7 linked regions of the Macaca mulatta genome follow. The protein of the gene in region 3 purifies or fractionates together with the protein of the main gene of each other region. This does not show direct contact. Links are inferred from orthologs where the notes say so. Each region holds a gene or a part of one and is shown on either strand. Other genes may lie near its edges. The genes, in order: MYO1C, BAZ1A, SMARCA5, CECR2, BAZ2A, BAZ1B and HDAC2.

The links.
Region 1: the proteins of SMARCA5 (region 3) and MYO1C purify together in Homo sapiens (affinity purification with western blotting; 3 studies listed by BioGRID, with this or other methods). This does not show direct contact. The link is inferred for Macaca mulatta from reciprocal best matches to the Homo sapiens genes SMARCA5 and MYO1C.
Region 2: the proteins of SMARCA5 (region 3) and BAZ1A purify together in Homo sapiens (affinity purification with western blotting; 8 studies listed by BioGRID and IntAct, with this or other methods). This does not show direct contact. The link is inferred for Macaca mulatta from reciprocal best matches to the Homo sapiens genes SMARCA5 and BAZ1A.
Region 4: the proteins of SMARCA5 (region 3) and CECR2 purify together in Homo sapiens (affinity purification with mass spectrometry; 3 studies listed by BioGRID and IntAct, with this or other methods). This does not show direct contact. The link is inferred for Macaca mulatta from reciprocal best matches to the Homo sapiens genes SMARCA5 and CECR2.
Region 5: the proteins of SMARCA5 (region 3) and BAZ2A purify together in Homo sapiens (affinity purification with western blotting; 3 studies listed by BioGRID and IntAct, with this or other methods). This does not show direct contact. The link is inferred for Macaca mulatta from reciprocal best matches to the Homo sapiens genes SMARCA5 and BAZ2A.
Region 6: the proteins of SMARCA5 (region 3) and BAZ1B purify together in Homo sapiens (affinity purification with western blotting; 11 studies listed by BioGRID and IntAct, with this or other methods). This does not show direct contact. The link is inferred for Macaca mulatta from reciprocal best matches to the Homo sapiens genes SMARCA5 and BAZ1B.
Region 7: the proteins of SMARCA5 (region 3) and HDAC2 fractionate together in Homo sapiens (co-fractionation; 5 studies listed by BioGRID, with this or other methods). This does not show direct contact. The link is inferred for Macaca mulatta from reciprocal best matches to the Homo sapiens genes SMARCA5 and HDAC2.

The regions. Positions count from the first base shown.
Region 1 is NC_133421.1:3,017,854-3,021,353, forward strand, and holds part of MYO1C (unconventional myosin-Ic), read right to left. Parts: intron 3,063-3,500; coding exon 2,994-3,062; intron 2,893-2,993; coding exon 2,808-2,892; intron 2,709-2,807; coding exon 2,549-2,708; intron 1,964-2,548; coding exon 1,880-1,963; intron 61-1,879; coding exon 1-60.
Region 2 is NC_133412.1:107,997,650-108,001,615, forward strand, and holds the start of BAZ1A (bromodomain adjacent to zinc finger domain protein 1A), read right to left. Parts: upstream 2,801-3,966; 5' UTR 2,526-2,800; intron 2,059-2,525; 5' UTR 2,001-2,058; coding exon 1,888-2,000; intron 1-1,887. UniProt on the Homo sapiens protein: Regulatory subunit of the ATP-dependent ACF-1 and ACF-5 ISWI chromatin remodeling complexes, which form ordered nucleosome arrays on chromatin and slide edge- and center-positioned histone octamers away from their original location on the DNA template to facilitate access to DNA during DNA-templated processes such as DNA replication, transcription, and repair.
Region 3 is NC_133410.1:152,366,205-152,369,704, reverse strand, and holds part of SMARCA5 (SWI/SNF-related matrix-associated actin-dependent regulator of chromatin subfamily A member 5), read right to left. Parts: coding exon 3,292-3,500; intron 1,479-3,291; coding exon 1,371-1,478; intron 1-1,370. UniProt on the Homo sapiens protein: ATPase that possesses intrinsic ATP-dependent nucleosome-remodeling activity.
Region 4 is NC_133415.1:34,695,431-34,699,359, forward strand, and holds the start of CECR2 (chromatin remodeling regulator CECR2), read right to left. Parts: upstream 2,801-3,929; 5' UTR 2,715-2,800; coding exon 2,457-2,714; intron 1-2,456. UniProt on the Homo sapiens protein: Regulatory subunit of the ATP-dependent CERF-1 and CERF-5 ISWI chromatin remodeling complexes, which form ordered nucleosome arrays on chromatin and facilitate access to DNA during DNA-templated processes such as DNA replication, transcription, and repair.
Region 5 is NC_133416.1:63,788,616-63,792,115, reverse strand, and holds part of BAZ2A (bromodomain adjacent to zinc finger domain protein 2A), read left to right. Parts: exon of another isoform or gene 1-140; coding exon 141-326; coding exon of another isoform or gene 327-382; intron 383-1,046; coding exon 1,047-1,265; intron 1,266-2,019; coding exon 2,020-2,493; intron 2,494-2,632; coding exon 2,633-2,693; intron 2,694-3,500. Other genes in the region: RBMS2 (RNA-binding motif, single-stranded-interacting protein 2), read right to left, coding at 309-382. UniProt on the Homo sapiens protein: Regulatory subunit of the ATP-dependent NoRC-1 and NoRC-5 ISWI chromatin remodeling complexes, which form ordered nucleosome arrays on chromatin and facilitate access to DNA during DNA-templated processes such as DNA replication, transcription, and repair.
Region 6 is NC_133408.1:50,944,694-50,948,193, forward strand, and holds part of BAZ1B (tyrosine-protein kinase BAZ1B), read right to left. Parts: intron 3,359-3,500; coding exon 3,253-3,358; intron 2,499-3,252; coding exon 2,400-2,498; intron 75-2,399; coding exon 1-74. UniProt on the Homo sapiens protein: Atypical tyrosine-protein kinase that plays a central role in chromatin remodeling and acts as a transcription regulator. Involved in DNA damage response by phosphorylating 'Tyr-142' of histone H2AX (H2AXY142ph).
Region 7 is NC_133409.1:19,023,492-19,026,991, forward strand, and holds part of HDAC2 (histone deacetylase 2), read right to left. Parts: intron 2,378-3,500; coding exon 2,303-2,377; intron 1,836-2,302; coding exon 1,697-1,835; intron 1-1,696. UniProt on the Homo sapiens protein: Histone deacetylase that catalyzes the deacetylation of lysine residues on the N-terminal part of the core histones (H2A, H2B, H3 and H4).

The sequences.
Region 1 (3,500 bases), on a different chromosome or scaffold from region 3:
CTGAGGGTAATTATCCTTCTTGCCCTTGAAGATCTCACTAGCCACGGCCTTCTGCTGCAGCTAAGGAGACAAGGGGGGTGAGGAGAGTATCACGGTGGGGGGTACTATCTTGGGGGGCAGAGCCAGCCTTAGGACCTGAGACAGCCTCCCTCACCTGCTTGCTGGTCCCCCTCTTGCTCAGCACCAGGAGGTTGAGCCCTGCCCCCCACACTCCCATCAACCCCCCACTTCCTGACCCTCTGCCGCCACCAAACACTCCCCAGCGGTGTCATGAAGGCACTGCCGGGTTTTGAAACTAGCCTTTGGCCGGGCGCGGTGGCTCAAGCCTGTAATCCCAGCACTTTGGGAGGCCGAGACGGGTGGATCACGAAGTCAGGAGATCGAGACCATCCTGGCAAACACAGTGAAACCCCGTCTCTACTAAAACTACAAAAAACTAGCCGGGCGAGGTGGCGGCGCCTGTAGTCCCAGCTACTCGGGAGGCTGAGGCAGGAGAATGGCGTAAACCCGGGAGGCGGAGCTTGCAGTGAGCTGAGATTCGGCCACTGCACTCCAGCCTGGGCGACAGAGCGAGACTCCGTCTCAAAAAAAAAAAAAAAAAAAAAAAAAAAGAAACTAGCCTTTGTAATGTTTCCCCACCCCATCAGGCCCTGGTGGCCCTGAGACTCAGCTCCAGCTTGGGGTCTTCTAAGTAGCAGATCACTAATACTCAAGGTTACTAGAGGTTATCTATGCTGGGTGGGTGTTTTAGAATCATCCAGTACTGAGTTGGCAAAAACACGGCACATCAACCAATGCCTGTAATGAGGGCAAACATCACCAATCCATCCAAGTGAAGATGCAGACTTTTCAACACAGGGTTCTGAGCAGTCTCTACCAATCAAGGGCAGTTGGCCCACAAGGTGAACCCTATTGGCCACCCCAAATGTACTCCAGCGTCCACTTCCTACACAAGGCCCAGCAGGGCCTGGCATCCAACTGAGGTCGCCAGTAGACCGGGGTAAATACAGTAGACCAAAGAAACGACAGCAGACAGGGGTAAATACAGCAGACAGGGGTAAATACAGCAGACAGGGGTAAATACAGCAGACAGGGGTAAATACAGCAGACAGGGGTAAATACGGCAGACAGGGGTAAATACGGCAGACAGGGGTAAATACGGCAGACAGGCGTAAATACGGCAGACAAGCGTAAATACGGCAGACAGGGGTAAATACGGCACACAGAGGTAAATACGGCAGACAGGCGTAAGTACGGCAGACAGGGGTAAATACGGCAGACGGGTAAATACGGTAGGCGGGGTAAATATGGTAAACCGAGGTAAATACGATAGACGGGGTAAATATGATAGACAAGGTAAATACGATAGACGGGGTAAATACGGTAGACGGGGGTAAATACGATAGACGGGGTAAATACGGTAGACGGGGGTAAATACGATAGACGGGGTAAATACGATAGACGAGATAAATACCATAGACGAGGTAAATACGGGGTAAATACGGTAGGCGGAAGTAAATACGGTAGACGAGGGTAAATACGGTAGGCAGGATAAATACGGTAGATCAAAGTAAATACGACAGACGCGGTAAATACGGTAGGCCGAGATAATACGGTAGGCAGAGTAAATACGATAAGCCGAGATAAATAAGGAAGGCAGGGTAAATACGGTAGACCGGGGTAAATACGATAGACGAGGTAGAGTAGACCGGGGTAAATACGGTAGACTGGGGTAAATAGAATAGACCAGGGTAAATACAGTAGGCGGGGTAAATACGGTAGACCAGGGTAAATGCCCCTCTAGGCCAACACTCTCTGAGGAATGCCTGCGGTTCCCTGACTCCACTTCCTCATCCTCACCCAGCACCACTCTCCGTACCTGCTGCTTCCACTCAGGGCTGATGCTCCGGCAGTATTTCCACACCATGTTCTTTATGCACAGCTCCCGCAGAAGCTCTGAGGCCTGAAGGGAAGAGTGAGGTCAGAGCTCCTGGACACCCTGGGCCCTTCCCTCTGAAGACATCGAACATATGTTACCCCAGCCTTTGGATAAGCAAAGCCCCCTCCATCTGGACAATGCTTCCACTCCTGAGTCAAGAGACCTTACTCAGCAGGGCGCGGTGGTTCACACCTATAATCCCAGCACTTCGGGAGGCCGAGGTGGGTGGATCACCCGAGGTCAGGAGTTCAAGACCAGCCAGGCCAACATGGTGAAACCATATCTCTACTAAAAATAAAAAAATTAGCTGGGCGTAGTGGCAGGTGCCTGTAATCCCAGCTACTTGGGAGGCTGAGGCAGGAGAATCACTTGAACCCGGGAGGCAAAGGTTGCAGGGAGCCAAGATCGCGCCACTCCCTGGGTGACAGTGTGAGACTCCATCTCAAAAAAAAAAAAAAAAAAAAAAAAGAGAAACCTTACTTTTCACTGCCCAGCTCTGGTCCGGGCCCTCCGTGAGCCCCTCCCTGACCGATCCTTTGGCCCCAAGAAATCAGACCCTTCTGCTGTGTACTTTGATGGTCCCTAACTTGGCAGGGGGTGCCCACAGACCTCACGCAGGGCAGGTGGGGGTGTGGGCCAGGAGGTGTCCAGGACATTCCGGGGCAGCTGCCGCCGCAGGTTTAGCAAAAAAGAGGTGCGCACGTGGTCCAGGAAGAAGGCGTTCTCGGGGCAACGGGGCGCGTGGCGCAGGATGAAGCCTCGGATGAGCCTGGGGTCGGGGGCCAGACAGGGTTGAGGGCGAGGAGGCTGGTGGTGAACCCCCCACACGCCCTGCTCTGCAGCCCCCACAAGGCACCCTGGTGCTCACCGCCGGATGGTCTGCGCTGCCCACTTCCTCTTGGTTGCCTTCCTCCGGCCCAGCGTTCCACGCCACCACGACTGGATGCAGATGGCTGTCGTGGAGACCACAGATGGCTGACCTCCATCTTCTTACCATGGTGGCCTCCCCTGGCCCCAGACCCCGCCCCTCCTGAAAACCCATGGGCCCACGAACCTGATCGCTTCACCCGGAGGAATTTCTGCCGCCAGTGAAAGCCCCTCCAGGCAGCTTGGATCTTGGTGGCTGCAGTTGGGAAAGAAAGGCAATTGGCCAGAGCGCGGGGAGCCAGCTGGGAGCCTGGTGCCGTCTGCACTCCATGAGTGGCATGAATGGGACAGTGGCCGAAGGAGCCAGCGAGCAGCAGAGTAGTGAAGAAGAATGAATGTGGGGACTGCCCGGAGAAGGGGGGGCAGTGGGTGCGATGGCGGGCGTGAGGCTGGAGCTGGTAGGGAGGGGGTTCCAAGTCAACTAGTGGACTCCCTGGAGGAGGACTCCCTGGAGCTGGGTGTGGGGCTGGGGCTGGTAGGGAGGGGGTTCCAAGTCGACTAGTGGACTCCCTGGAGCTGGGTGTGGGGCTGGAGCTGGTAGGGAGGGGTGGACTCCCTGGAGAAGGAGCCCAAGGGAGTGACTTCCCTGCTTCCCGGAACAGACCCCGTGCGGCAGGAAAGGTGGGCTTCTCTC
Region 2 (3,966 bases), on a different chromosome or scaffold from region 3:
ACAGAGCGAGAACCTGTCTCAAAATAAGTAAATAAATAAAAATAGTGGAAGATAGATAGTTCTGGAATGTGAAAATTCTTCTGTATTTCAGCATTTCAGATTTCTCCAAGGTTAGAATAATTCGGCTCAAGAACCAAAGTGCATTAAGAATGTTTAATTCACAAAGGATAACAGCCATATTCATCCTACCCTCTAAGGTGAGAAAAGCCCCTTGCTTATATGGAAGGAGAAAACAATTTGAAATTTAAGCCTATTTACTATTTTGTTGGTACTCTCAATTTTCTTTTTAATCATAATTGTTAGCAAGGCCTATAGCTTTAAAATCCTTAAAAAAAATCCTTATCCAATTACCTAATCCAAGTTCACTTAACTAGTTATGAGAACTCTATTTGAGTAACAAAACAAGTCTCTACAGGAGCAGAGCAAGACGTACACTCCTACTTAAAAGTACTGTCTGATGAAAAGCACTCTATTTACTTCTCTAGATATAACATGTTTAATGTGAAACCCTTTCGGTGGAACTAAAGAAAAACGTTTACTTAAAATAAATGCTCAAAGGAACTTTTCTAACCTCACTATTGATTTCTTAGGTGCAGTTTGTCCAAAACCCTCCCTCGGTCAAGCCCCCACTCAGAAAAGGTGCCTTACACGCAACGTTACTTGGTTGCTATTACACTTGGTTTCCAAGTCACAAAGGGATTCCTTTTCAGGGGAGAGAATAAAGCATAAGAAAAAGAGAGGATCACCCTCTTGGAGTGATTGATCAAGTCAGGTTCTCACTTAGAGATCCTGTTTAAACACAAGACGCTAAAACACACCATCTTGCTCCGTGTCACAGGACCAGATCTCTCGGGATAAATTAAGCGACGGGCTGAAAATGTAGGAGCTGAAACTACACCAGCAGCAGCTCCGCGTTCTTATCAAAACAATAGCGAGTGGCACATGTCAGGCAGCCCACATGCGCAGGGGGATAAAGCGGCGCCTGGCTGAGTCTGGAGTTGAACTTGTCTTAACCCCCTCCCCCAACACCCTCCACCGCGCTCCCGGCTACGCGAAAGTGAAAACGAGGGGCGCCTAAGGCCCTGCTTCTTCCCCCTTCCTCTTCCCCTTGCCCAGCCGCGACTTCTTCCTCACTGATCTCCCGGGGGCGGAGACGCTGAGTTCCCCGGAGACGAGAGTTAGTCACCAAGAAGAGGCGGTGACAGAGAGCGCGGCTCCCGTCGCACTCCGAGGCCTAGCAGCGCCGGACGGGAGGCCGCCTGCGGAGGCTCTCGCGTCCCGCGTCCTCCACCCCTGGCCCGCAGGGACGCTCCCTCCTTCCCTTCTAGAACGAGTCTCAACTCCGCTCCTCTCCCCTACCCCAGGCAGCTCCAACGTCAGACCCCACTCCCGACTGAGAAAACGAAGCCCAGCCCAGCCGTTTCCTGCCCACCGGGGCAGGAATTCCCTCCCCCGACCCATGGACTGCGGCCCCACGTCGCTGACCCTAGCGGGGATCCCCTCGGCCGCCGGGAGGGGATCCCGGAACTGGCCCCGGAGTGCGCGTGTGGCCGCGGCGGGGAGGGGCGAGGCGGGGAGTTTCCGCCGCCCCGCGGCCAGGAGGGCGGGAGGGCGACAGCAGAGGCTAAGAGCGGTTCCCGAGGCCGGCCGGGGACCCCAGCCTCCTCCGCCACGACCAACCCGCGTTCCCCACGCGCGCCGCCGCCAGTTGGCCCCGCGCGTTCTCCAAGTGGAGGCTAGGAGGCAGAGAACCGCGGGCCCGGGGCCACCCGTCACTTTCAAGTCACCCCGCCAGAAGCCCAGGGCGAGGAAAAGGAGAGAGACAAAAGGGCGCTGGGGAGGGAGTCCCCACACCCCCCGCGGCCCCGCACCCTGCCCAGCTCTTACTCGTAGTGGCGGAAGATCTCGTTGGTGACTTTACAGTAGAAAACTTCCTCGTCGGGCCGTAGGTCCGCGGGCGGCTTCTGTCTCACAAACGGCTTTCGGTGTAGCAGCGGCATCTCCCGTCCGCCCGCGGGCTCGCCCGGACCCTCGGCCGCCCGCGCCGGCCCCGCTTCCCTATCAAAATTGGAGGGAAAGGAAAGCCGGTAAGGTGGGGAGCGCTCGGCGGCAGCGTGGGCCGGTCCGCGCGCCGGGAGAAGCTCGGCTGCCTTTTGTGTGACTGACGGGCCGCGGCCGCTACCGGAGCCGAGTTCGTTCCTGCCGCTGCCCGGGCGTCGAGCGAGCGGAGCCGCCGCCGCCCCTTTCCCCCGAGCGCGTCCTGCCTCCTCGCCCAGCCGCTGGCTCACAATGGGGCAGGACGCCCCGCCGCGGGGGGCAGTGCGGGAGCGGCGGCGGCGGCCCCCTCCCCCAGCGCCGGCTCCCCGCCCGCCGCCGCCGCCGCCGCCGCCGCCGCCAGGCTCACAACGTGCTCGGCGCGCAGCCGGCCGGCCGGCCAGGGCGCTCGCCGCGGGCGGACCCCAGCGCCGCTCCGCTTTGTTCCCGGCTTGCCTCCACTTCCCGGCCGGCTCCCGAGCGACCCTCACCTGCGAGCACGCCGACTGCCACTTGTCCACCTTCTCCACTACAAAGGCAACGAGGGGAGACCCCGTCCTCTCAGGGGACCGCCTCTCTCCGGCCCCGCCGCGCCCCTGGCCGCCACTTCTCCCGCTGCCACTGCCCGACTCCGCGCGGGGAATTGCGTCCCACCGCCACTTCCCCGCCTCTCGGAGCTCCTGGGAAGTTTCTGATCTACTTTCGGCTCTGAAGGAGGAAGAGCTGTTGGGAGGAGCTTTTCACTCCTCGCTTCTACCTTTTTATTGGCTACTCGATGACTTTTACAGCCTGTCACTGATACAGGAAGAGACAGCGGAGAGCCTGGGAGAGCTACATTATTAATTAATGGAGCAACCCCTCGTGAAGATTCAGAAGCATCCTCCATGTTTGAGATTATCAGCCAAAAGATCTAGGGAAAGCGCTGGCGGTTCATAAACACATGGCTAACAAAGTATATCCTTGAAGTCTGCCACCGACGCTTGACTACACGATGGGAAAAGGGATTCCAATTACGATTTAACTTGTATTTTAAAAATGAGAAAAGAAATGAATAAGAAAATTTGTTGCTATTTTTCTTCTTCCAAATTAGAATCCGTATCTCTAAAAATACTTTGCATGTTTAGTAAACATCTGTCTTGAACTAGAAGATACCTTGACATCAGTTCTATTTAATACTTATGGCAATTAAAAGGTTTAGAGAGCAGAGGAAAAGACCAAAAAAAAAATGTGTTACAAAGTGTCATCATGCTTGTAGGACCCCAACATTCTTGAAACTAACACACCTTTAAAAAGTAATATTTACAATGCTGTAAATATTTGCAAAGTATCAATGTTTAATTCAATTAGAATTTTAAGGATTATGGATTTACTAGCGAAAATTCCCCTAAAGCAACTTTCCCATATCAGTAATTTTTATTTAGGGAAACAATTTTAATGTACATAATACATGTGACCTTGGAATTCAATACAATTTTCGAAACTAGAAGTGACTCAGAACGTTCACTGGATGTGTTTTAAAGTCTTTTTTGATACTGTCCTTAACATTTGCTTATTTGAAATTAATATGAAAGAATGAAGCTAAAAGTTAGTTTTAAAAACGGTTATTCAGGCCGGGCGCGGTGGCTCAAGCCTGTAATCCCAGCACTTTGGGAGGCCGAGACGGGCGGATCACAAGGTCAGGAGATCGAGACCATCCTGGCTAATCCGGTGAAACCCCGTCTCTACTAAAAAATACAAAAAACTAGCCGGGCGAGGTGGCGGGCGCCTGTAGTCCCAGCTACTCGGGAGGCTGAGGCAGGAGAATGACGTAAACCCGGGAGGCGGAGCTTGCAGTGAGCTGAGATCCGGCCACTGCACTCCAGCCTGGGCGACAGAGTGAGACTCCGTCTCAAAAAAAAAAAAAAAAAAAAAAAAAAAAAAAAAAAAAAAAAA
Region 3 (3,500 bases):
ATAATACCCCACAGGCAACCAAAGCAAAAATGGACAAATGGGATCACATTAAGTTAAAAAGCTTCTGCACAGCAAAGGAAACAATCAACAAAGTGAAGAGACATCCCACAGAATGGGAGAAAATATCTGCAAACTACCCATTTGTCAAAGGATTAATAACCAGAATATTTAAGAGCTCAAACAACTCTACTGAAAAAAATCCTAACAGTCCAATTTAAAAATAGGCAAAAGATCTGAACATATGTTTATCAAAGGAAGACATACAAATAGCAAACAAGCATATTAAAAGCTATTCAATATCACTGATCATCAGAGAAATGCAAATCAAAACTACAATAAGGTAACATCTCACCCCAGTTAAAATGGCTTTTATCCAAAAGTCAGGCAATAACAAATGCTGACAAGAATGTGAAGAAAAGGGAACCCTCATATACTGTTGGTGGGAATGCAAATCACTGTGAAAACAATTTGGAGGTTCCTCAAAAAACTACAAATATAGTTACCCTACAATACACTAATCCCAACTCCTAGGTATACACCCCCCAAAAAATCAGTGTATCAAAGAGATATCTGCACTCTCATGTTTACTGCAGCACTATTCACAGTAGCCATGATTTGGAAACAACCTAAGTGTACATCAACAGACAAATGGATAAAGAAAACATGGTATGTATACACAACAGAATACTATTCAACCATAAGCAATGAGACCCTATAATTTGCAACAACATGGATGGAACCAGAGTTTATTATGTTAAGTGAAATAAGCAAGGCACAGAAAGACAAACTTGGCATATTCTCACTTATCTGTGGGAGCTAAAAATTATAATAATTTAAACTCATGGAGACAGAGAGTACAAGGATGGATATCAGAGGCTGAGAAAGGTAGTGGGGTGGGGGAAAGTGGGGCTGGCTAATGGATATAAATAAATACAAAGAATGACTTAAGACCTAGTATTTGATAGCACAACAGGGTGACTACAGCAATAAATAATTTAATTATACATTTTAAAATAACTAAGAGTTAAATTGTAACAGAGGATAAATGCTGGAGATGATAATACCCCATTTACCCTGATGTCCTTATTACTTATTGCATGTCTGTATCAAAATATCTCACGTAACCTATAAATACATATACCTACTCATAACAACTAAAAATAAAAAATTTATGCCACTACTTAAATTTGAAAGTGGAAGAATCTCAAATTATGACTTTGGGTTCCCCCTTAAGGGAAAAAAAAAAAATTAAAGGCAATGGATGGGGTGCACAACAGGGACTAACACATCAATGACAGCCAAGCAGTGTTAAATACTTAGAAAGGAGAAATTTACATTATCCACATATTTACATATTCATGAATACTTACTGAAGGCTTTGGTCCTCGTTTCTTTTTCTCTGCCTTCTCCTTTTCTTCTAGTTCCATGTTTTCTCTTTCAATCAAAGTAATTAAGGTATTACATCTCCTCTGGAGCTCCTAAATTATAAACAAACACAGTACATGTACTTTCCATCTACAAGTTTCATGATTTCAATTTTAAAACAAAGTATGTTTTAATAGGATAGTATAAAACCACTAATATACCCTAATTTAAAAAAAAAGATTTTCATACACAATTCATGCTATGAAGATTAAAAGCAAGATATTTGTAAATAATGTTTTTACTCCATTCTTTAAAGCCAAACTACTGTGTGTTCTTCAAAAATTCTTCCTTCACTTAGGAATTAAAGCAATAAAAATGAACATCTCATAACATATGCAATACTGCTACTTAGTGTTTATGTCTGATAAGTACTGTGCTACTCATATCCAAAACTTAAATAGATTAATAGCGTACGTATGTGAGGGTCAAAAACAAGAACTTTAACAGGTGTGTATAATCTTTCCCTTCAAAGTATCACTAGAATTATGGTGGTCAATCAATCACATGGCACCTTTCCCAATTTTGGAAAACCAGCCATGGAAGTCTACGATGAGTTCTACCTCATCTCTCTCTGGCAAACTGGACATACAGTCTCCAGAAAAGATTTAAAGTATAACCTAGAAGTAGCAGATAACCCTGAAAGAAAGAGAAGTCCATTTGCATGGCTAGCATGGTTAGCAGCTCCCTTTCTTATAGGGCAAAATTATTTTTTTCTTATAGTAAGTGATACTACTACACACACAACTACAGTAAAATAATTTTAAAATACTACTCTATAGAATACACCACACAAGGCTTAGAAATAGTATATAGAGATAGAAAAGTACATTATCATTTTTTGTGCATCTTAACATGGAACATGTTAAGAAGTAACAGAGTTTTAAATTATGGTACTGTACTAGGTAAATTAACATGGCACTGTCTTGTTACAATCACTATAAAATTATTCTTTATTAACTCTATAACTGTTCCCACTTAAGAAATAAGCTTCAGCAACTGGATCTTTTCTCTAATTATATATTTACACAGTGTTTTATCTTCAAAGTAGCTTCATGTATTTAAGTTTAGTACATTTCCCAAACCTGGGTATCACAAAATAGTGATGTCTAGTGAAATAAAAATTTCAGTGGTCAAACACGAAAATACTGCTTACTATCCACTGTCTTACAAAGTGACATTTTACTTTAAACATACAGAGAAATCTTACTATAAACAAAAAGATGTTTAAACTTTGTTTATCCCAGAATATCCCAAACTTAAGACTACAGAACTTATTAGCATTATCCTCATCTGGCAGAAAACAAGTTGAAGCTCAAAGTTCAATGGTGGTGAAATAAGGAAGAAAAGGAGCAATCCATCAAAGCTAAACTTTTCTGTATTCAAATTTTAGGTTATTAGAAATGGGGCTATTTGGTCAGAAATGGTTAGCCAGACATTGGGAATAAAAACAAAACCTAGCATTAAATCAGTACAAAAATAGTGTTTACTACAATAAGCCATCTTAAAATAATCCAGACTCAGCATTCTGGTATGCAGATGCCTGAATGCAAGGACCATTTTTCTTTATAGAAATATGTTCGTTTGAAAAACCAAAAAGTCGTAACACTCAGAAGTTGAAACTGATACTTCCTCCCACTTAGAACTTGAAAAGCTAGTCTTACCATATAGTGACGTTTAAAGATGTAAGACATTAAAGGATGGGATCAATAAACTTGTAAGTTATCCCTGCTATTAGGTTTTATGATACTAACAATATTGTAACAAATGTCTACTTCATAGATTTTTTTAAGGTCACCTTAAAGAATACCAAAGATGACACTTACTCTGAACTTGGCTATAGTACACAAAAAAGCCCTGAGCACTCACCATTGCAGTTCTGGACTTAAGAAACCAGTCAAATCTGAACTGAGGAGAGTTGCGAATACACTGTCGTAATTCATCATAAACATTTTCTTTGTCAAATCCAAGTTTGTGAAGCATACAAATCAGAAAACGATCTTCTTCTTCAGTATAGTTTTTTCCTTTGTTAGTACCGTATGATATTCTCAGCTGATGAAAAGGTGCTTTGTACCGTC
Region 4 (3,929 bases), on a different chromosome or scaffold from region 3:
GGCATGCACCACCATGACCAGCTAATTTTGTATTTTTAGTAGAGACAGGGAAACCCATGTTGGCCAGGCTGGCCACTGCGCCTGGCCATTTAAAAAAATTTTTGTTGTTGTTAAGACACAGTCTTATTATGTTGCCCAGGCTGGTCTCAAACTCCTAGGCTCAAACAATCCTCCCACCACGGCCTCCCAAAGGGCTAGGATTACAGGCATGAGCTACCAAACCACGCTTATTTTTTTAAACAAAAAACATTTGTATTCGGCCAGACACAGTGGCTCATGCTTGTAATCTGAGCACTTTGGGAGGCCGAAGCAGGTGGATCACCTGAGTTCAGGACTTCGAGAGTTTGAGACCAGCCTGGCCAACATGGTGAAACTCCGTCTCCACTAAAAATACAAAAATTAGCTGGGTGTGGTGGCGCACGCCTGTAATCCCAGCTACTTGGGAAGCTGAGACAGGGGAATTGCTTGAACCTGGAAGGCGGAAGTTGCAGTGAGCTGAGATGGTACCACTGTACTCCCGCCTGGAAGAGTGTAAGACTCCGTCTCAAACAAACAAATAAAAGCATTTGTATTCAACAATCTCTTTAATCCATATAAGCACACTACATTTGTATATTTTTACCATTTCATTATACTTTGATTTCAAAATAATATGTGATCATTCCATTTATTTGTCAGTTAATTCCTTTCTCCCAAGTGATTGTTATAGTTTCCCTATTATTACCATAATCAAAATCTAAAATGAAAGAAAATGTAACAATAATTACCAGTTGCTGAGATCTACTTGGGCCAGGCCCTCACATGCCTGGCTCATTCAAACCTCACCACTGCCGTGTGGAACACGAGATGGCCAAGATGCAGATGAACAAGCTGAGGCTCAGCAGGGCCAAGTGACAGGTTCAGACCTTGGGCAAAGCCTGGACTGCAGCCAGGGTAACTCCAATCAACTCTCTGTTGTAATTACTTCACTAGTATCCCTGCGGCTTAAAATTTAAATCATTTTACCAATGTTTCCCTGTTTCCCTATTACCAGGATAACTGGGTTGGCTTCAACCTGCCTAAAAACAATTCCTCTAACAACCAATCAGTGTGTAAACCAGGATGGAGGTGTGGCACATCCATAAAACACACTGTGAGGACAACTGAGGATATTTCAATGTGAACTCTTTACCGGATGTTATTACAGAATTACTGTTAATTTTCCTAAACGTGAGTATAACACTGTGGTCACATAAGAGAAAGTCCTTATTCATAGGAAGTACACGTACATGTCACTAGGAAAGGGGAGACTGTCATGACACAGTAGACTTACTTTCAGATGGTTCAGCCAATGTGGCAAAAATGTTAACAATTGGTACATCTAGAGTGAAGGGTATGCAGGGGTTCACTTATCTTTGAACTTCATCGTACATTTGAAAATTTTCAAAGTAAAACAGGAAAAGCTTTAAAAAGCTGAAACTTTAAAAAGTAATTTCACTTTCTGAACATTATCAGTGTTCATCTACTTTAGATGAATTTTCCAAGTTAAAAAAAAATCAAAGACTTTTTATAAATTATATTCTTATCAGATACTAAAAACAAACGGTTTTGGGTCAGGAGTGGTGGCTCATGCCTGTCATTCAAGCACTTTGGGAAGCCGAGGTCGAGACTGCTGAGCCATGATGGTGCCACTGCACTCTACTTTGGGCAACAGAGCAAGACCTGTCTCCAAAAAAATAAACAAATAAAATAAAATAAAATAAAAGCACCTGGTTTAGAATCAAACACTTAAAACTTATGGATGAAAACAGAATGCCAACTTGTAAAAAGGAGTATGAAATCTGAAAATAACTATCTGGCAACTGTGATGTAATGACTGATTCAGGTAAGGTATCACGCATGGATTAAAATTCCTAACGGGTTAATTTGGAGGAGCAAGAGGATGTTTCCAAAGTATCTCCCCACAACGTACTTGTTAATTATAAGGGAAAAACAGTAACTTTGCAGTGGAAAGCAGACATTGCCCTAACCAAGTGACGATCAAAGTTAGTAACCACCACCAGTAAAGGGCCCAGTCCACAGGACGCAACTGCTGATACTACGCACCAAGGGCACAGGCCTCCTCAGCACGCCCGCCAAAAACACGACCCAAGTTATCCCGGGAGGATTCCAACGAGCCCAAGTGGAGGGACCATCAATAAAATAAATGGCTTTCACTCTTCCAAGAAGGTCAAGCTCAAGAAAGACAAAGACTGAAGAACGGCTCTATTTTGGAGGCGACTAAAGAGACCCACCAACTAATGCAATGCATGACCCTAGACTGAAAACCTGAACCAGAAACAATTTCCAAAATAATAATATGTTTAAAATTCATAAAAATAATGTACAAATTATGGGCTCAATTGGTAACATGTGATTTACTATTATCTACAGATCTTACTCAGTATTAAGCTCCTGATTTTAATAATTGTACTTACATGTATAAGAGAATATTCCGGCCAGGCACGGTGGCTCATGCCTGTAATCCCAGCATTTTGGGAGGCCGAGGCCAGCGGATCATCTGAGGTCAGGAGTTCAAGACCAGCCTGGCCAACATGGCAAAACTCCATCTCTACTAAAAACACAAAAATTAGCTGGGCATTGTGGTGCATGCCTGTAGACCCAGCTACTTGGGAGGCTGAAGAAGGAGAATGGCTCTGTCCCAGGAGGCGGAGGTTGCAGTGAGACAAGATCATGCCACTGTACCCAAGCCTGGGCAACAAAGTGAGACTCCATTACAAAAAAAAAAAAAAAGAGAGAGAGAAAGAGAGAGAGAATATCCCCGAGCTGGGCGTGGCGGCTCATGCTTGTAGTCCTAGCTACTTGAGAGGCTGAGTCAGGAGGATTGCTTGAGCCCAGGAGTTCAAGGCCAACCTGGGCAATATAGCGTTGAGATCCCACCTCAAAAGAAAAAACAATGTTTTTAAGTCATAAAAACACTAAAATGTCAAGGAGTGAAAGGTATCACGTCTTCAACTTACTCTCAGTGTAGAAAAACAGTAATTACACAGCTAGAGATGACTAGCTAGTAAGCTGGGCAGGCAGGCAGGCAGTTGGGAGATGGAGGAGAATGGCACCAAAATTCATGTAACTTTTATGATAAAATATAAAACAAAAAGTAACTATGAAGAAAACTTGGTGAGGAGGAAGAGGGAGATGGCAGTAAAGCACATGGTGTAAAACTGAACACGTGGGGAATGTGGGTAGGGAGCTCAGAAATTCTCTGTCCCAGTCTTCTAAGTTTCTGGTAAGTCTGACATTACTTAAAAATAAAGTTTTTAAAGCCAGGCACAATGGCTCACACCTCTGTAATCTCAGCACTTTGGGAGGCCAAGGAGGGTGGATCACTTGAATTCAGGGAGTTCGAGACCAGCCTGGCCAACATGGTGAAACCCCGTCTCTACTAAAAATACAAAAATTATTCAGGCATGGTGGCGGGCGCCTGTAGTTCCAGCTACTTGGGAGGCTGAGGCAAAAGCTTGAACCCAGAGGTGGAGGCTGCAGTGAGCCGAGATCGCGCCATTGCACTCCAGCCTGGGCAACAGAGTGAGACTCCATCTCAAAAAAAATAAAATAAAATAAATAAAGTTTTTAAAAAGCTCCACCCAGTAACAGTAGAGTGGAAAAATGATAAAAGGAGCTCTTAACAATTATTAACATATTTTGTACGTAATTTAAGCAATTGAAGGAAAAACTGAATTTCTTTCACTTCTAAAATGTTTTCTGACTCAGTGCTCTTCGTAAATTGCGTAAAGGATTCCTTTCTAATGCCACGATACTATCTAAAATTTAGTGTCACCCATCTTCCCATATACTCTCGAGAACCTGCACTGGATGTCAGTTTTCCTGTCTCACTAGCAGTATCGTTCAATTCATTTACCAACAAATGCCTCCGCATTTTCCTGAAGTCA
Region 5 (3,500 bases), on a different chromosome or scaffold from region 3:
TCGGTTCCCAGCAAAGAACTGGCCGCAATAAATGTTGAATGAATGAACATCCTTCTAGCAAAGACAGACTGCCTAATATAGCTAAATGAACCAATATAAGGCACTGATTTTGACTTTTGGTCTCTCCTGGGATTTCCTAGAACTGAAGATGTGTGGCTACAATGGCTCTGTCCCTTCTGTGGAATCGTTACACCAAGAGGTCTCAGTCCTGGTCCCTGACCCCACAGTGAGTTGTTTAGATGATCCTTCACATCTTCCTGATCAACTGGAAGACACTCCAATCCTCAGTGAAGACTCTTTGGAGCCCTTCAACTCTCTGGCACCAGGTAGGTTTGGAGGCTGGCCCCGTTTAATTTATCCATGCACAGTAGCCAACCTTTACCTGAAAGAGACAGTAAAATGGGAAAAGTATTAGGGAATCCAGGGCATTGGGGCTTCCAGGTAGGCCTAAGGCAGACCACAGTTACATGCCACTGGCCTTGTTGCACTAACTGAACTCTGAGCTGAATTGGTTTATGTCCCAGGTTTTTTCCCAGTATTACTTTTGGCCAAGAGCTCTGGGCTGTAATAATTCACTGGATAGGGACTTATTACCACACAGTTGATCTTTTTGGGTTCTAACAAACTAGGAAGGAAACATTTGTCAGTGAGCAGTTACCTTTTACCCCACTGAAGTACAAGAAAGACATATTTTATGATAAATCCTAGAATTTTGCTAGGTCTCTGGGTAGATAATACCACCAATGCCTTTCCTTCCATTTTCATCTTGTAGAGATGAGGTCTTGCTATGTTGCCCAGGCTGGTCTTGAGCTCCAGGCCTCAGGCAATTCTCCTGCCTTGGCCTCCCCTCAAACTTTTATGATCCCTACAATCTCATGACTACTCTTTCAGGGAGAAGGCTTTAGTTGTTATCTAATTTAATATTAGGAAGAATCTTCACACTGTGGGAACTAGAATTGGATATTTTCTGACCAGTGTTTCTTAAGTCTTGCTTTCTGATTTTTTTTCTCATTATCCTGCTCTGATTTTTCTACCCTTGTGAACAGAGCCAGTGAGTGGAGGACTATATGGTATTGATGACACAGAGCTAATGGGTGCAGAGGACAAGCTGCCTCTTGAGGACAGCCCTGTGATTTCTGCCCTTGATTGCCCTTCCCTCAATAATGCTACTGCCTTCAGTCTCCTGGCAGATGATAGTCAAACATCAGCCTCTATCTTTGCCAGTCCCACCTCTCCACCTGTCCTAGGGGAGTCTGTCCTGCAAGGTAAGTGAGGGTAGGTAGGACAAAGAAAGATGAGAGAATAAGTTTCACAGTTAGGGCCTTAAGAGTGGGAAATCTGACCGGGCGCAGTGGCTCACACTTCTAATCCCGTCACTTTGGGAGGCCGAGGCGGGCGGATCACCTGAGATCAGGAGTTCGAGACCACCTGGCCAACATGGTGAAACCTCGCCTGTACTAAAAATACAAAATTAGCCAGGTGTGGTGGCACGCGCCTGTAATCCCAGCTACTTGGGAGGCTGAAGCAGGAGAATCATTTGGCCCTGGGAGGTGGAGGTTGCAGTGAACTGAGATTATGTCATTGCGCTCCAGCCTAGGCAACAGAGCGAGACTCCATCTCAAAAAAAAAAAAAAAAAAAAAAATGGGAAAGCACTTGCTGGGAGCTGAGGGGCTATGGGATAGTGTATGGTGGGACTGAAAGAGGCACAGACTGCTGTACTCTGACCTGTGCCCTCTGCTTTGAAGAGCTTGTGAGACTTGGAATTTGTAGGGAGAAGGAGGCCAGAGCCTTTACTGGCACCAGGTAAAAGGTGTTTCTTCACACAGTGACATCTGTAGCATCTTTACCCTTTAATCTTCGTGATTGGTTGGGAGAAAAAGCTGCTACTTTTTCCAACCCTAGGGAAGACCCCTTGAAGTAACCCTGTTTAGCTTGGTCCAGGTTTGACTGAGTAGATTCTCTTGTTTTATGTGATGCCTTTTTTTTTTTAAAGCCTATCCTGTCCCTTTGGATTCTAGATAACAGCTTTGACCTGAACAATGGTAGTGACGCTGAACAGGAGGAAATGGAAACTCAGTCTTCAGACTTCCCACCATCCCTGACCCAGCCAGCTCCTGATCAGTCATCCACTATTCAGCTACATCCAGCAACCTCACCAGCAGTCTCGCCAACAACCTCCCCAGCAGTCTCCCTAGTGGTTTCTCCAGCAGCCTCCCCAGAAATCTCTCCAGAAGTTTGTCCCGCAGCTTCTACAGTTGTCTCTCCAGCAGTCTTCTCAGTGGTCTCTCCAGCTTCCTCAGCAGTCCTCCCAGCAGTTTCCTCAGAAGTCCCCTTGACGGCTTCAGTGACATCCCCAAAAGCCTCTCCTGTAACTTCCCCAGCAGCTGCCTTTCCAACAGCCTCCCCAGCAAATAAGGATGCCAGCAGCTTCCTAGAAACCACTGCTGACCTGGAAGAGATCACTGGAGAGGAACTCACTACTTCTAGTAGTGGTGAGTATCCAGATTCTATTCTATCCCTGTCTGGTTCCAAGAAACTTTTCTGTCCCATGTTGCAGTTAGCCTTTCCCTGCTGGTCTATTGTTTAAATATTTTGCTTGAACTCTTAACTTGGGTATCCCTTCCTCCCAAGGTGATGTCATGAGGAGACGTATTGCTACCCCAGAAGAAGTTCGTCTTCCCCTCCAACATGGGTAAATGCTCTAGTTTGCTACATTTATTGACCTTGACAAGTTTAATGCACAACTCTAGAAAGAAGGGAATGCCTCTTTTCCTCTGAGATGGGGGAGGAATGAGCCATACAAGAGTAGATTACAGGACAGTTATCTGCAGTGATAATGTTTCTTGGCATGAGATTCCTAGGTTTTCCGTCTTCTCTCAAGGTCTATCTTCCATCACCTATTCTTTCTTCATCTTGTAGTGACTCAATTTTGCCTAAGGAGCTCCAGCTATTATCTTTTTCAAACCCTAGGGCTTACATCCAAACTAGCTGGCTTGTCCTATTTCTGTAGAGAAGGGATAGTAATGAATGAGGAGCGACTTAGTACTAATGAATTGAGGTGGTTTTGTTGTTTTAATGCTCTTAGGAGAGGTGAGGGCAGGAACAGTACATGACCAAAATGAACAAACTAGCTGACACCAGGGCCTTGTGGAAATAACTGCCTTCCTGGATCTTCCCCACCCCTCCCCTTCAAGGCTACTTGTGGTCACCAAGTCTGAGTACTGCTTAAAATTTTGAGAGAAAGATTAGAGTTAGTCTTAGAATAATATTGCTCAGAACACAGAGTTCCTAACTAAACCCTGGCATATTGAGTCTTTTCATGGAGTCAGCAGCAAATTTACTTTTCTGCTTGCCTCCCTGTCCTTTGTCTTCTGCTTTTATTCCCCTTAGGTCTTTATCCTCTTTACTGGAAATCCAGTAACTGCCCTGAATGGCTCAGGGAGGGGTTTCTGACTGCTTATCTCACTGATTTTGTAAAGGGGGGTGGAGATCTCTGAGC
Region 6 (3,500 bases), on a different chromosome or scaffold from region 3:
GGTTGCCATCACAGGATTTTAGACCCAAATTTGGTTTCCGAGCTAGATGAATAGAGTGAATAATGTCCTGGTACCTAGAAGATTTGGGACAAGAGAAAAGGGAAAGAAAGAAACCTTTTGAAGATGTTCTTTAAATTTCAATTACTTAACATTTTATTTCTAGAAAACTTACTTAGATCTCTTTCACCTCTCCCTGGTGTTTTTTCTTTTTTTTTTTTTCCTGAGACAGGGTCTTGCTCTGTCACACAGGCTGGAGTGCAAAGGTGCCATCACAGCTCACTGCACCTTCAAACTTCGGCACTCATGCAGTCCTCCGACCTGAGCCTACAGCTGGGATTACAAGGCATGTGCCTCCACACCTGGCTAATTTTTTTTATTTTTTGTAGGGATGGGGTCTTGCTTGCTATGTTGCGCAGACTGGTCTCAAACTCCTGATTTCAAGTGATCCTCTCCCTTAGGCCTCCAAAACTGCTGGGATTACAGGTGTGCACCACCACACCCAACCACTTCTAAGCTTTTAATGGTAGGAATCAATCTTCATATTTAGTGAACAAAACAGGTCCTTTCAATTCAACACACGCAGCATCAAATGTGCTGCCCAAAGAGAAGGAACATCATAGAACTATATTCCTTTGGGGCTCTGTGTACTGACATTTTTTCCTTTTTTTTTTTTTTTGAGATGGAGTGTCGCTTCGCCCAGGCTGGAGTGCAGTAGTGTGATCTTGGCTCACTGCAACCTCCATATCCCATGTTCAAGTGATTCTCCTGCCTCAGTCTCCCTAGTAGCTGGGACTACTAGGCGCCCGTCACCACGCCCGGCTAGTTTTTGTATTTTTAGTAGAGACGGGGTTTTGCCATGTTGGCCAGGCTGATCTCGAACTCCTGACCTTGTAGATCCACCTGCCTCCGCCTTCCAAAGTGCTGGGATTACAGGTGTGAGCCACTGTGCCCGGCCCTCCTTTGTCTTTCTTAATTTGCCTAGACACATCTGTATTCAGACAACACAATTCTGAATGCAATTTTAATTAATTTACACATTAAGCAGTGGACTAACATCAACATTATGTACCTATTTTCCCTCGCAAAAGTCTGGCAATGGTGTAGAGTATGTACTGAATCACATTTTCCTTCCCTCTTCCATCAAACCTAAACTCAACCATGAAATTGAGCAGAGTCAGAAATAAGAGGTGGCATTAAGCCAAAATCTTATCCTGGCTTTGATAGAAATGTCTACAACAAATATGGCAGTCGCAAATTTAGATGGAGTTGATGCTACTTTGTAGACAGAACAGGGTTTTTGGTTCTTTTTAATTCATACGGCATGAAATTCACCAACTTGAAGCATGTACTTCAGTGGTTTTTGTTGTAGAACCACCACAACTATGTAATTCCAAAACATTTTCATCACCCCAAGCAGGAATCTCTTACCTGTTAGCAATCATCACTCCCACTCTCCCCTTCCCCTATCCTCTGGCAACCACTAATCCACTTTCTGTTTGAAATAGATTTGCCTATTCTAAATGTTTCATTTGAATGAAATCATACACCACATGGCCTTTGATGTCTGACTTATTTCACTTAGCATGTTTTCTAGGTTCATCCATGTTGTAGCACAGAACAGTACTTCATTTCTTTTTGTGGCTAAATAATATTCCATTATTTGAATATTCTAAATTTTGGGCATTTTTTGTTTCATTTTGTTTGAGATAGCGTCTCGCTCTGTCACCCAGGCCAAGCCAGAGTACAAGGGCATGATCTTGGCTCAGTGCAACCTCTGCCTCCTGGGTTCAAGTGACCAACTCAGCTCGGCCTCCCAAGTAGCTAAGACTACTTCATACACAAACCACCACACCCAGCTAATTTTTGTATTTTTTGTAGAAACAGAGTTTCTCTATGTTGCCCAAGCTGGCCTCAAAACTCCTGGATGCCGAGACATTGGCCTATCTTCACCTCTCAAAATGCCAGGATTACAGGTGTGGGCCACCACACAAGGCCTGGATATATACCAAATTTTATTTATCCATTCCATCAATTGATCGTCATTGCCATTGTTTCCACCTTTTGGTTCTTCTGAATATTGACAGAACACTTCTGGACACCCACCCATCTGGGCCTGCACCTGCAAAGCTGTCTAACAACCATGAGGCTCACAGCTTGGTGCTGGCACATGTTCTTTAGTGCATAATCCTGCTACTCTACATATAGATGGCCAAAGGCATATTTTTCCAATAAGCATAATGTGCCAAGAAAATATCAGGTAATATGAACACAAAACGGTTACACATTTAAAATATTTTACTTTAGTAACTTTAATGGATAATAAAAAAAAAAACTCTCAGATATTTATATCCAATGCTAAAGAGAAGTAAGATGTGACGAGTAAGATGAAAACCTCTTACCTCTTCTCTAGTCTCTCTTTAAGTTGACTTTCCCTTATTCCCTGAGGGTGAAGACAGTTTAACAATTCATCCAGCTCCTTTTGACTATCACATAAAAACCTGTAGGGGCAAAACAGACCTGATAACTCTGAAAAAAAAAAAAAAATTCAAAATCAAACACTAAGCAAGGGATCTAGAGTTGGTAGTGGGACTTGGGAGAACAGAATTCCAAATGTGTTCACAGTTTACTATCTAGAAGTAGAATTAAGTAATTTACTATTTTCATGATGACTAATGTTAACTCTGTACTAGGACACCAGAGCCAATATGGTTCCTATTAAAATATTAAATGAAATTTTATAAAGTTAATTAGCATACTTGTCCCTTTCCCTCCAGAGAGTAAACCTATACCCAAAATTCAAAAATGAAACGTCATTAAACCACAGATGATCACAGTTAAAGTCACAGAATGGATCCTCTAAAACCTAGCTCACTGCCTAAAAGCAGAATTGCACACAAAGGAAACTAACAGCTATGCACACAATTTGTTAATTAATAAAAGTTAAGGAAAATCTTAAATACTTCTATTCCCAACCAAATTTAAGCTACATTTTTACTGCTATATAAGATATATCACATAATACACAAAGTTATATTACAAGGGGGGAAAAATCAAAATTCCAACCCTTAAAAAACAAGTATCCTCTTAACGAAAATCAGGTCTGCTAATGCAAGAAGTTTTGGTACCCAAAATATCAAAGTCACACAAAGTATCCTGAGCATTATTAACTCACTGGCATCACTATACTAAATACTTTCTTCCTTAACAATTAAAAGGAAAAAGAAAGAGCAACCAGATGAATGCTCACATTACCATAGGTTCTGTCCTTGTTTAGGTGTGGTTGTCTCTACAGCAACTTCTGTTGCTGGTCCATGTTGTGTGTTCATGTTTGCATTTTTACCTAAGTTTGCTTTCTTACCTAAGAAAAATTGAGATATTAGGTTGACTACAGTAAATGCCCAATTGCTAGTTTCAAACCTAAGCAGTACCCAGTGCCAAACTCAACAATTTGTAACAACACAGATGGTTCCTGTGAAATATCAAATATATCTTCATGTATA
Region 7 (3,500 bases), on a different chromosome or scaffold from region 3:
ACTCATGAGACTATTCTCATAAGAATATAAAGAGCGTATAATAGTATAGCAAAATTTCTTCACAAAATTTAAAAAACAGAAATGAGGCTGTGATCAAGGTAAAGTTTCTGAGTGGCTCATGTGTTAGATAAGCAAGGAAAGCTGTGCACCAAGTCAATTTATTAAATCATGTTTGATTACACCACCCAAAAAAATTGTGTCCAGAGAAATTAAAGTTGTTTAAAACTATTAGCTGAGTGGGCAAGAACTTGCTCAAAGAGTTGAAGACACTGGAACCAACATCAACAGTCAATTAAAACACAAGGCAAATGATTGCAAATGATTTTCCTTTGCTCCTGATGAGCTGACAAGATGTTACACTGATCCTGCTCAATTACTGTTTATTTGAGGAGTCAGTATCAATTTTCAGTGACTGAAAAATCAGCCTCTATGGATAGCATGCATGGAATAACTACAAGCAAAAAACAGCTCAGTACAATATAAAGTAGAATCTGCTAAGATGTGTCATAACTGATGGCAAAAAATAACATTGCAAATGTCCACATTCATAAGTACCTCTACAGATCTCTCTCTCTCAAACTGCAGCCACAGCTAAGGAAAAATAACTCCTGCAGCAACTCAGAGATAATTTTATATCCATCAGTAGAGAACAAAGCCTCATTCACATATGGAAGTTAGGCAGTTAGACTAACTCAACAGGTAAACAAATTTCCTTAAATACTGGTTTCAAATTTTTGTCTTCAATTTACAATTTACAAAATACTAGAACATAAACTTCCAAGGTCATTGTCATTTTTTATTAGTTGAAACTAACTAAAATGAAAACTGCCAAACTACTTTTAAAAAAGGATATTTAATGGGAGTTTTGACATTTACATACACTTCTAATTCTTTTTTTTTTTTTTTTTTTTTTTTTTGAGACAGAGTCTTGCTCTGTAGCCCACGCTGGAGTACACTGATATGATCTTGGCTCACTGCAACCTCTGCCTCCCAGGTTCAAGCAACTCTCCTGCGTCAGCCTCCTGAGTAGCTGGGATTACAGGCACGTGCCACCATGCCCGGCTAATTTTTGTGTTTTTAGTAGGATGGGGTTTCACCATGCTGGTCAGGCTGGTCTTGAACTCCTGACCTCATGATCCACCCACCTTGGCCTCCCAAAGTGTTGGGATTACAGGCGTGAGCCACGGGCACCCAGCCTTTTATACACTTCTAATTCTTTTTTTAAGGTAGGATCTCACACTGTTGCCCAGGCTAGAGTGTAGTGACAGGAACATGGCTTCCTGCAGACTCTACTTCCTGGGCTCAGATACTCCCACCTCAACCTCCTGGGTAGTTGGGACTACAGATGCATGCCACCACATCTGGCTAATTTTTTTCTTGGCAGAGATGGGGTTTTGCCATGTTGCCCAGCCTGGTCTCAAACTCCTGGGCTCAAGAGATCCACCCACCTCAGCCTCCCAAAGTGTAGGGATTACAGGCCTCGGCCATAGTGCCTGGCCACACACTAACTCTTAATAATTGAAGATTTGGGCAAACTTCCTGCATTTCTTCATTGTTTTGTAATGAATTCCCAGAAAATTCACCATTAACTATTTCAACCTATGGCTTACCTGATTTTTTTTAAGCCACAGACTTTTATTGTGTTTTAATGAAAACATTTTATCACTGAAAAAAGTACCAATATAAATTAACATACTTTAGTAATTCAAGGATGGCAAGCACAATATCATTAACATAACAGAATCCTGATGCTTCTGATTTCTTAGCATGATGTAATCCTCCAGCCCAATTAACAGCCATATCAGTCTGTTGTCGGTTTAACTTCACGGCTCCAGCTAAGAAGTAGAAACAAGGTAGACTTTTTAAATATTTAACATAAAAAATTAGTACAACGAGACGAAAACCCTACAAGTGTATGCCATGCATAAGAAAGAGCTTAAAATCATAAAACTTAACAAAAATCATCTATGACACAAATAGGAGTTTCTCCTTAGAAAAACATTCTCCCAGAGCTGCGCCCTGAGATTAAATAATGGTTTATGTAGATGGTGGTACTAACAATGATAGCTAGAAGACAAGTGGGATGAAAGAAGTCTGTAAGTGAAAAATGTAAGTTACAAAAGTATTTAAGTCACAATAACAAAACAGAGGTTTGAAAGCAAATTGTACTGTACTATAAACATACTGATTTCCTTTTGTTATCAAAATTCACAATCATTAAAACTCCTGCTTTACACAAATAACCTGGAAGATACACACCAAATTTAGAACAACTTTTAAATCTGATTGTATTAGCACTTACCAACTGAACCACCAGTTGAGAGTTGACAAAACTCAAAGAGTCCATCAAACACTGGACAATCTTCTCCAACATTAACTGTGGAAGATGGATTTCATTAATTTCAACACACTCTGCAAATTAATGAAAGCCTTTTCTTACAAAAACTATTTCCTACAAATACTTTTTTTGCTTGATGCAATCATCAAACATACACTTCACAGTGTAATATAAAGTTTACAACTTTAAAATATATTTATTGTTTTATCCAAGGTAATTACAGTGTTATCTGTGAAAGATCATCATCAAATCTTATCAGGAGTATCTGTGGAATATTTCTGGTCTATTAACAAGAACTCAATAGTTGTCTATGCACAACAGTTCTCATTTAATTAAAACACAGGCTTAAATTTTCTAGACCTTTCCCCTTAATATTACAGTAAGTTAACATTCTAAAAGTAACTTCAATTGCTGTATGATTTACTTTCTTTAAAACTCCTTAAATACGTATTAATATCTGTAACTTTGAAATGCATGTCAGGAAGTTACTAAACCAAAAAGATGTAACAGCTGGTTGCCTATTTCCGTGGCTAATCTTGATCTTGAAAGCTTGTAAGAATTAACTAGGTTCATGGGAGCCAAAATACAGAAGGATATTAAAGACAACAAGGAAAAAACATATACAGATAAATAACACAACATCACACATTTAGTTCCTCAGTATTGACAGAATGAAGGGGATATGGCAGACATATATAACCCTTTCTTAGTCTTTCCCTATGCCCTTGAATTGTAACCTCTTCAAGAATAAGGGTCCTTGTTTTATATATTAATATCTTTGTACATCCTTAAGTCACAAGCACTATAAGAAATACATTTTAGTTTCTTACTGCTCAGATAGATCATAATTTTTTTTTTTTTTTTTGGATACAGAGTCTCACTCTGTTGCCCAGGCTGCAATAGCGTGAGCTCGGCTCATTGCAACCCCCACCTCCGGGGTTCAAGCAATTCTCCTATCTCAGCCTCCTGAGTAGCAGGATTACAGGTGCACGCCACCACACCCAGCTAATTTTTTTGTACTTTTTTTAGTAGAGACAGGGTTTCGCCATGTTGGCCAGTCTGGTTTCGAACTCCTGACCTCAGGTAATCCACTCACCTCGGCCTCCCAAAGTGCTGGGATTACAGGCGTGAGCCACCACACCCAGCCAGGATCATAAGCTTA